Linked DNA regions of Arabidopsis thaliana. The protein of the gene in region 1 interacts with the protein of each later gene in a pairwise test. Each region holds a gene or a part of one and is shown in the gene's direction. Other genes may lie near its edges.

What was found.
Region 2: the proteins of AT3G66654 (region 1) and RPH1 interact in a protein complementation assay, tested with the Arabidopsis thaliana proteins (one large-scale study listed by BioGRID).

Annotation. Positions count from the first base shown.
Region 1 is NC_003074.8:2,085,988-2,091,100, forward strand, and holds AT3G66654 (Cyclophilin-like peptidyl-prolyl cis-trans isomerase family protein), read left to right. Parts: upstream 1-1,928; 5' UTR 1,929-2,196; exon of another isoform or gene 2,197-2,661; 5' UTR 2,662-2,706; coding exon 2,707-2,858; intron 2,859-2,974; coding exon 2,975-3,020; intron 3,021-3,144; coding exon 3,145-3,195; intron 3,196-3,368; coding exon 3,369-3,454; intron 3,455-3,751; coding exon 3,752-3,889; intron 3,890-3,986; coding exon 3,987-4,137; intron 4,138-4,223; coding exon 4,224-4,310; 3' UTR 4,311-4,554; downstream 4,555-5,113. Other genes in the region: AT3G66652 (fip1 motif-containing protein), read left to right, coding at 1-976, 1,222-1,569. UniProt on the Arabidopsis thaliana protein: PPIases accelerate the folding of proteins. It catalyzes the cis-trans isomerization of proline imidic peptide bonds in oligopeptides.
Region 2 is NC_003071.7:19,660,966-19,664,445, forward strand, and holds RPH1 (resistance to phytophthora 1), read left to right. Parts: upstream 1-1,851; 5' UTR 1,852-1,897; coding exon 1,898-2,083; intron 2,084-2,229; coding exon 2,230-2,440; intron 2,441-2,522; coding exon 2,523-2,704; intron 2,705-2,781; coding exon 2,782-2,808; 3' UTR 2,809-2,937; downstream 2,938-3,480. Other genes in the region: AT2G48060 (piezo-type mechanosensitive ion channel component), read right to left, coding at 38-194, 309-466, 552-711, 970-1,050, 1,373-1,421; AT2G48075 (uncharacterized protein), read right to left, coding at 3,178-3,480. UniProt on the Arabidopsis thaliana protein: Plays a positive role in the immune response to the oomycetes P.brassicae, including induced oxidative burst (e.g. H(2)O(2)) and enhanced expression of defense-related genes.

The DNA of each region.
Region 1 (5,113 bases):
TTGGCATCATCGTGAAAGAAAATATGTTCATGAAAGAAGTCCTATCCGAGCATATGAAAACTACAAAGAAAGAAATGGGTGTGATTGGCTAAGAGAACCTTATTATGAGGACTGTATACCGATTACTGACATGGATTATAGGTACCGGTCAGAGAACTCGTCTGCACATGCAATACACAACCTCAAGCACAGTCCAGAGAATGATCTTTATTGCAGAAGAAGGGGTGGATACGATTATAATTTGCATCGTGATAGATATGAAGATGGAGTTCACAGGGTAGAAAGTAGAATTCCATTTGAGCTGGCGTACAGGGAGATGCGTTCTTTTGCTGAAGTGGAAATGAGAGAATATCAAGGGTATAAAAGACATGAGGAATTCTCTGAAATAGAGAAAAGACATCATTACATTCATGATTGGCATCTTGATAGATTTGTCTCAGAGGAAGATGGTTATAAGTATAGAATCCAAGATGGTTGGTCCTCACCGTCTTTATCTTTGAGAGATTCTTGGTATACCAAAGAAGCAAAAGGTGATTTCCGGAGAGATGATACCAGAGACTTCAGAACACCTGAAGCATATGACAGCCAGAATAACCATTTTCATAAGGCTGCACCGAGAGATGGCTGGACGCAGAATCTTGGTCGTAGCCATAATGTGAGCGTAAAAGATAGACTACAGTATGATGCTGATTGGGTTGGTCCTGATAGAGGAAGATATAATATGGCAGATGACATGCAATGTTCAATGAGAGAAGTTTCTAATTCTGAGCATCCATCATATACTGATGAGATATTTGTCCGCGACATAAGAGTACCGACACATAATCGGATGGCGACCAAACAAAGGTTTGGATATTTACAGAGCCATATTCATGAAAATGATGAAAGACATCACAGATCCAAGAAGCTGAGAGGAGATGGGCATGCTTTCATCAAGCGTCAGGATCATGTTGACTTAGCTGGTAGGCAAGGAAAGGTAAAGATTGGGAAACTAAATCTACATGCTTTTAAACCTATATTTGAATGAAGTATAAACGCCTTTCAGTTATTTATATCCCTGGATTTTCTTTGTGTTATTTCTGACTGTTTTATCACTTTATATGGTCTGTCTTCTATACTTAGGTTTTATGTTGCTCACATCCGTATATTTAGACATCAGTTAGTGTACAATGAAGAACAAGACCCTTCTCATGTGATAGATATTTTGTGTGTGTGTTTCAGGTCTCTAACCAATCAAAAAAAAGATTCTCCAATGGCGGAGATACAATCGAGCAACAAGATGTTCAGAAACCAAGAAAGTTAATGGGCAAAAGCGAAGAGAAAGCTATGCAGAATCGAGATATAAATGACAAAGAAGAAGGCGAGATAATAGAAGAAGTGAAAGGTGTTGAAATAGACAATGAACGTATACAAGAGAGTCTGAAAAAGATGGAGAAACGGAGGGAGAGGTTCAAGGGAACCAAATTGGCGGTAGAAGCGACATTCAAATCTCAAACTGAACTGAGAGCTAAAGCCGATGTTACTAATCAACAGAGGCCAGTTAGAAAGAGGAGATGGTGTGCAAGTTAAAAAGATCATATTGGATGGCTTGTTTCAGGTTAACACAATAACGGTTTATTGATGGTAGGCTATATCTAAACCGATCAATTAAAAAGTGGCTAAGAAAATCACAAAACCGAACAATTGACTGTGACCTGGGTTTTTTTAAGTGATCTTGCTTGTGCATTTTTTTTTTCCCTTTTGTAAGTGTTTACGTAGAAAATTTGACTTTTTTACCAATGCTTATTTATATTTACAGTTTAGTATGTGTAATGCAAAATCAAATGATGCAGCGAAGGATCAAACCAGTGACAATTAGGGCGGAAACCGTATGATTAACGTGATAACCACTAGACCATAGTAAAATTACTTTCTTTTGAATTTAGAATCATTTTCTTGGGTCAAATAGATAACCAGATAATTTCATGAGAAAACCAGACCGAACTATACGATTTTTCAAAAATGATCAACTTTTGTATTTTTGTTTGTGGAATAATATTCGTCGGATATTGGTGAGGTGGACTCGTAGCCGTCGGATAAACACGCGGCTGATCTGAAGCGTCTCTGCAAAAGAGAAAAGAGAGCAGAGAATTCAAACCAGTTTCCATCGACGCAACGACCAATCTCCACGATTCCTCTCTTCTCTCTAACTTCCAGGTACGTTTTTCGAGAACCCAATGAAGCAATCAAAGTCCTTGGAATTCATTTGATTTTACTTTCAGGTCTTTGGATTTCTATAGAAAGAAAGATCTGTTTATTATTTGATTGGAACATGATAAGCTGCTCCGTTTCTCATATCCACTTTTGTTCAATTTATTTCAATTTGATCGATAATTGGAAAAGTACTGGATCTGGTGTATCGGAAGTTACCGGTCAAGCTATGTATGAACCCTTGTGATATTTTCACATGCGTTTATTCATTCAAATATGCTAGATTTTTAATCTGGTCAATACGTGATATCAGGGTTTCTTCAGTTGGGTAACAACTTAATCTTATTGCAGTTTTGATTTTACCAACTTGAAATTGAATTATAGTCTTACAGATACGAATTTGGAGTTTTTGTGTAGTGTATACTTGTTTTCTGGATTGCTTGTCACTTACTGTTGATTTATGGTTTGCAGAGACAAGTTGTATCCCTCGTTTGCTTTCTGCGAAACTAAGGTGCAATGGCGAAGATAAAACCGCAGGCTCTTCTAAATCAAAGCAAGAAGAAGAAGGGTCCAAGTCGCATAAGTATTTCCACTATTATTGTCTGTAATCTTGTAGTTGCTGTAGTCATATTATCGTTGGTCACAACCTATCGCCATTGGTCCCAAAGGTTTGTTTTCATCTTTGAATTGTTCCTTTTTCATTACTTCTGTTATAGTAGATTCTCCTTTTACTTTATGTGATTATCTATAAACTAAAAAGGATATCATTGGTTATATCTCCTAGGTCAAGAAACACAATTGAACATGAAACTCGGAGTCAGAGATTTGAGGTATTTTCTTGAGAGATTTTTTAATGTATAGCTTTTGAGTTTTGATCCTGATGAACTTCCGAGCACTTAGGTTTAGAGTTTAGGGTATTTACCATATGTGATCTGGCTTTGGTTTCTGCTTCAGGACACTAATACTGCGTCAGGGCAAAAAACTTACGATCTTCCTGGTTTTGCTGTAAGTTAATCTCCCTGTTTGCTTGCTTAAGTTTCTTGTTTTAATCCTTGTTCTTATTTCTCATCATGGTATTATGTTCTGTTCATCAGTTTTTGAAGTAAAAAAAATGTGATGTGTCTTATCTGAATATTGATTTTAATGATATCTTGCTTCTATTTTCCTATCTCATGTAGGATATAAACACATCAAAAGGACTTATAACTGTCGAACTCTTCAAAGAAGGTTCCCCTGAAGTTGTGGACAAGTTTCTAGATCTATGGTTAGTATTGGAATTCGTTTGTTTTCCTTTAAGTTAGATAGAAAAAGAACAGTAGAGTAATTTGATTAAGCTAGGTCATGACTTGTTCTTAAATAGGAGTATTACTTCTAGCTTGATAGGATTCAAGTAGCTTTAGTTTCTTGATTGACTGATTTTGATCCTTAAGTCCTCTTGTACTCTTCTTGGAATTTTTGTTTGGAACATGAAACCTCATTAAAGAGAAATGGGCTGAATCAGTCTGTGACGATATTGTAGCTTAATATAATAGTAGAAGTTGAACATTGAGTATTGTTGCAGTCAAAAAGATCACTTCAAGGGAATGCCGTTTCAGCGGGTTATAAAGAACTACTTGGTACAAGCTGGTCACTCACCGAGCTCTATACCTGTAGAAGAATGGACAGCTAAAGGAAAGCTCAGAGGTCGCCTTCACATTGGGTATAACTTGCTTGCTCTGCTTTTGGCTTTTAAGTGTCAATGTTTATCATCTCTCGCTGGTTTTAAAAAATAAAAAACTACATATGTTCTGTTACAGCCCAAAACATGAGGCATTCATGTTGGGAACACCAAAAAACAAAGGGAACAACAAGGATTTTGAGCTTCTGATCACAACGGCCCCAATCCCGGATCTGAATGATCAACTTATAGTGTTTGGAAGAGTCCTTAAGGGAGAGGATGTAGTACAGGTTTGATCCAACTAAGCACAGTCTATCAGCTTGAATGGTTTGTTTAATAGTTTCATGTGTTAAAAGATTAAATCATATTATTACAGGAGATCGAAGAAGTGGATACGGATGAGCATTTCCAACCGAAATCGCCAATAGGGATCACTGGTGTTGTACTGAAACTAGAGACATGAAATGAAAATTTCTCTTCCTTGCTTCCTCTGTAAATGAGGCTCACGCCAAATCCTTCTTCATACTCGCTCTTTTGTATAAATCCTCTTTTGAGGTTTTTTCTTTCTTTCTATTTTACAGTTTCTTGTTGTTTTGTAATTTTATTTGATTTTTCTCGAGGAAATAGAATCTTTGTTTAATTATGCTTCTGATACTTGAGCAAATACATGAACTGATTTTAGAGAATTTTATCCTGTTATGATAGAAAAACTTCTGTATTATACCCGTTAAGTACCATAAAACTATTAGAGAAAAAGAGAGGTCTTTTAAAATTTATATGAGAAGATATGGAGAACAATCTGAAAAACCAGAAACAAATCCTTTAAGAATTCTTAAAAATCTCTACAAGATTTCTTTTAAAAACTCTAAAATAATTCTTAAACAATTCTTAAGGAATTCTTAAATTATTCATAGAATACAATTACAAAAATACTGTATTTTTGTTTTAGGTAATATTTAATAATTTGGAATAAGATATATAGGACATACATCAAATTATGTATTTTGATACTATTTTGACTAAAACTTAAAAATGTTAAAAACACATTTATAAATATGTTAATTAGTTGGTGTACTCTTATGTATTTTTTTCTAATTAAAGATAAATATCTAGAGTGTGTAGACAAAATCTATAATAATATAAGAGAAAAAAAAACAAATAACGCTTTAAAATTTCATATCGTAATCATTATCAATTTTGTAGAGTAGGAGATATTGTTATAATTCATTGTTTTTGAAAAGAGAAAATCTTCATAGTAATATTTGG
Region 2 (3,480 bases), on another chromosome or scaffold:
AGTGCTAACTTTGCGTAATAATCAATAATCTATCCACCTGAAAAGTCCTGAAACATTGCTTGTCAAGGACCAGTCCACAAGACCGGCACAGCTTCCAATAAAAAATGGCAAAGAAACCCATGATGGATTGCAGATTCCCACTGCCAATTGAACTGCTGGTAACAACAAGCAGGAGGCAACCCTAAGATGACTTCCTGAGTAATAAAGGAGGAGATAACGTCAAACCAAGACCAGATGAACACATGATGAGAAAACGTTACAGTAAGTATTTGGACAAGCCGTATGGGCCTAGTACATTAATTACAAACCTAGGTGTTCGAAAATTCCTGAGAAGTGAGACCACCATGTGTCCCGCCATCTAGCGAAGCCGAATCTACTACTGTATATGTCAGCTAAAGCAACCAATGATGTTAGTAGTTGTAAAGCCAGGAAATACATAACGGTGGGGTTTCTCCAAGACTTTAATCTGCAGAAGCAAAGACGAGAGTATCAACTAACAAGTAAATATTTGTAAGGCAGGAAGATGAATGAAATGATGAGAGTACTCTTACATCATAAAGCCAATAACTCTCATCCAGCCAGTATCTGGTGTATCCCAGTCTTGACCTAGAGCAGCCCAAATGACAAGGTAGACCACTTGAGCAAGAAATACTGCAAAGGAAAAGATGAAAATGGGCCATAATAGCCAATGCCTCCTCTGAAAACGGTATCCTGGCAAAATAAAGCAAGAACCAAAGTAAGTTTGAGAAAGTAAACATCAGCTAATCAACCGTAACTGAAAAAAGCGACGAAAACTGAGAATAATAGACTCTCTTTTTTTTTTTTCTGTTTCTCCAGGCTAATGTAGATGTTGGGCATAAACTAGATGAATCCTTTCACACCTAAACCCCAAATCAAAGATTCCAAGAAACATGTACTACAGCAGAAACATTGGGGTATTTCTTTTGATTAGAGGGAAAACAGGCTTACCAATTTCAGGTGCAATATAGTGAACGAGGAGGAAAGCTATCAAATCAAGAAAGGATATGACACTCCAGTTAATAAGTGCAGCTGTGAGAGAAGAGAAAAATATATTAGGAAAATAGAAGCTCAAGCGAAAAAAGTACAAGCTACGGTGTGGTAGAGAATGGAGATAGCAATAACAAGAGATATGATACCAATGTTTTGACATAAAAACACCAGGGTCGTTTAAACTAGTAAAACTTAATAAAGGAACCTTAATAGAGTAGGTACAATGTTAAGGAGTAAATGAGTGAAGCTCAAGATATCCCATGAGACAAAGAGGAGGACTCTGTTGATTGAAGAGGACTAGCAAAGTAAGGATTTTTTTATTATTATTATTGCAAGCAAGAAGATAGAGAAAGAAACCAACCTGCCAGAAGAAGCGAAGGCAACAAGAAGCCCACCAAAAAACTCGCCATTGGAAACTTTTGTCTTAACGATCACCATATCCCAATTCTCATCGAATTCAATAGATCCCCTCTCTAGCTCCGACCTCAATTTCTTCCAAAAGGCCAACGAAATCAGCCCGCCGGAGACTAAAACGGAGGATAAAAATTTCCAATTCTCACGAATTCTAGCAAGTTCCCGAAAAGGTAGCTGTTGAAGATGTGTGTGAATTTGAAGGTGGATTGCAAATTTGAGAGAATTGGAAACTGGAAATCCAAATCCACAAGCAAAAATCAAAGAAAGATCTTTTCTTCTCGCAATAATCATCATTTTAATAAATTATATTTAGCGCCGAGAAATGGCTAAACCAATCAAACCGTCGTGGGCTCGAGATTCAATTATTGATTGCTGGCTTTTAATTTGGAATACCGGAGTTCGGTTGAGAATTGGACCGGTTCAATAAAGCCAACAAGTTTCTTCTTCCTTATCGCGATTATTGGAGGAGAGAATGAGTTGGTCTCTCTGCAGCACCCATGGGGTCTCCTCTTCCATAGCTCTCACTTATGGCTTTCGCCATAGAAGAAGATCCACCTTCCGTATTTTCGCCACCTCTGACGGATTAGAACCCAAGGACGACCCGCCGGAATCTCCTCTCCCTTCCTCATCCTCTGCTCTCGGTAAAGACTTGAAAAAGGTCCGCCTTTTTTCTATATCATTTACGATTTTTCTGTTGAAACCATAGGAAGACATGAAAATGAAAATGCACCATGTTAGATTGGTCTCTAGTGCTTGAACCTGTTGAAAGAGTTGCTCAAGCTTATGACTTTTCAATTCAAGCAGGTTGTTAACAAGACTGCTGCAACCTTTGCCCCTAGAGCTTCCACCGCCAGTAAAAACCCTGCTCTCCCTGGAACTACTCTTTACAAAGTTTTTGAGGTTCAAGGCTATGCATCGATGTTCCTCGGAGGTGTCCTTTCTTTCAACCTCCTCTTTCCCTCCAGCGAACCTGATTTATGGAGGTTGATGGGCATGTGGTCCATTTGGATGTTCAGTATGTCTCCTTCTCTACTTTCTTCTAACTTTATTTATTCCAAGGCTGCATTTTTGCCCCTAATCCTTTACTTTCTTTCCAGCTATTCCTTCTCTTCGGGCACGAGACTGTCCAAGTAAAGAGAAAGAGGCTCTTAACTACCTCTTTCTCATCGTCCCCTTGCTCAATGTTGCTATTCCCTTCTTTTGGAAATCATTTGCTCTTGTCTGGTCTGCTGACACGGTTGCCTTCTTTGCTATGTATGCCTGGAAGGTATGTCGAATGGTAATTATTGAGGGGCGCTTATATAGTTATATGTGCTTGCTCAGATTATTTTTTTCACTTTTTGCCTCTTACTTCAGCTTGGATGGCTGGAAAGAACAGAGTAGGGACTACTCGTGAATCATGATGGGATTAGAGCATGAAGATTCTTTGTCTTTTCTTCCTTAGAATGGTACTTCATTCAGCTTATCGTGTTAGGTACGTGGGTTTAAGGCAAATGAATGTGAACATTGCTCTAGAATGATATATGAACTAGCCCCTTAAGGAATATTTCTTGTAAATCTTAAAGTTCTGAGATGAATTATTGTTCAAAATACAAGTGGGAGTACATATACGTTTTGTTATCAAGAATGCAGCTGGTAAATTTAAACAAAGTAAAAGAATTGAGTATATAGATAATTCTTGCATCCCAGTGTCTGTTGGTTCTTCTATTCGACAGAGAAAGCGAGAGAAGAAGGAGGCTCATGTGTTTAGTTCTAGGCTAAGCCTTTCCTCATCTTCTCGAGTGTACTTTCGATAAAAGCATCTGATTTCTTATTTATATCATTTAGTAGGGGCCCCAGGCGTCTATGAGGCTGTGGTGGTTTCCCTGCTTCAGGCTGAGTGATTTGTTGCTTAGGGCTGGGCTCACCCAGCATGCTCTTTTCCCCGTTCTCCTGTAACCTCTTCTTTGGGCCGTTACTACCATTAACTAGTGTAATCATTGTCTCTCTCTCTGATTCTGGACTTGACGAGGCAGGGGAATTGTTATCCTCCGAGTCTTCTAATTGCTTGAAATG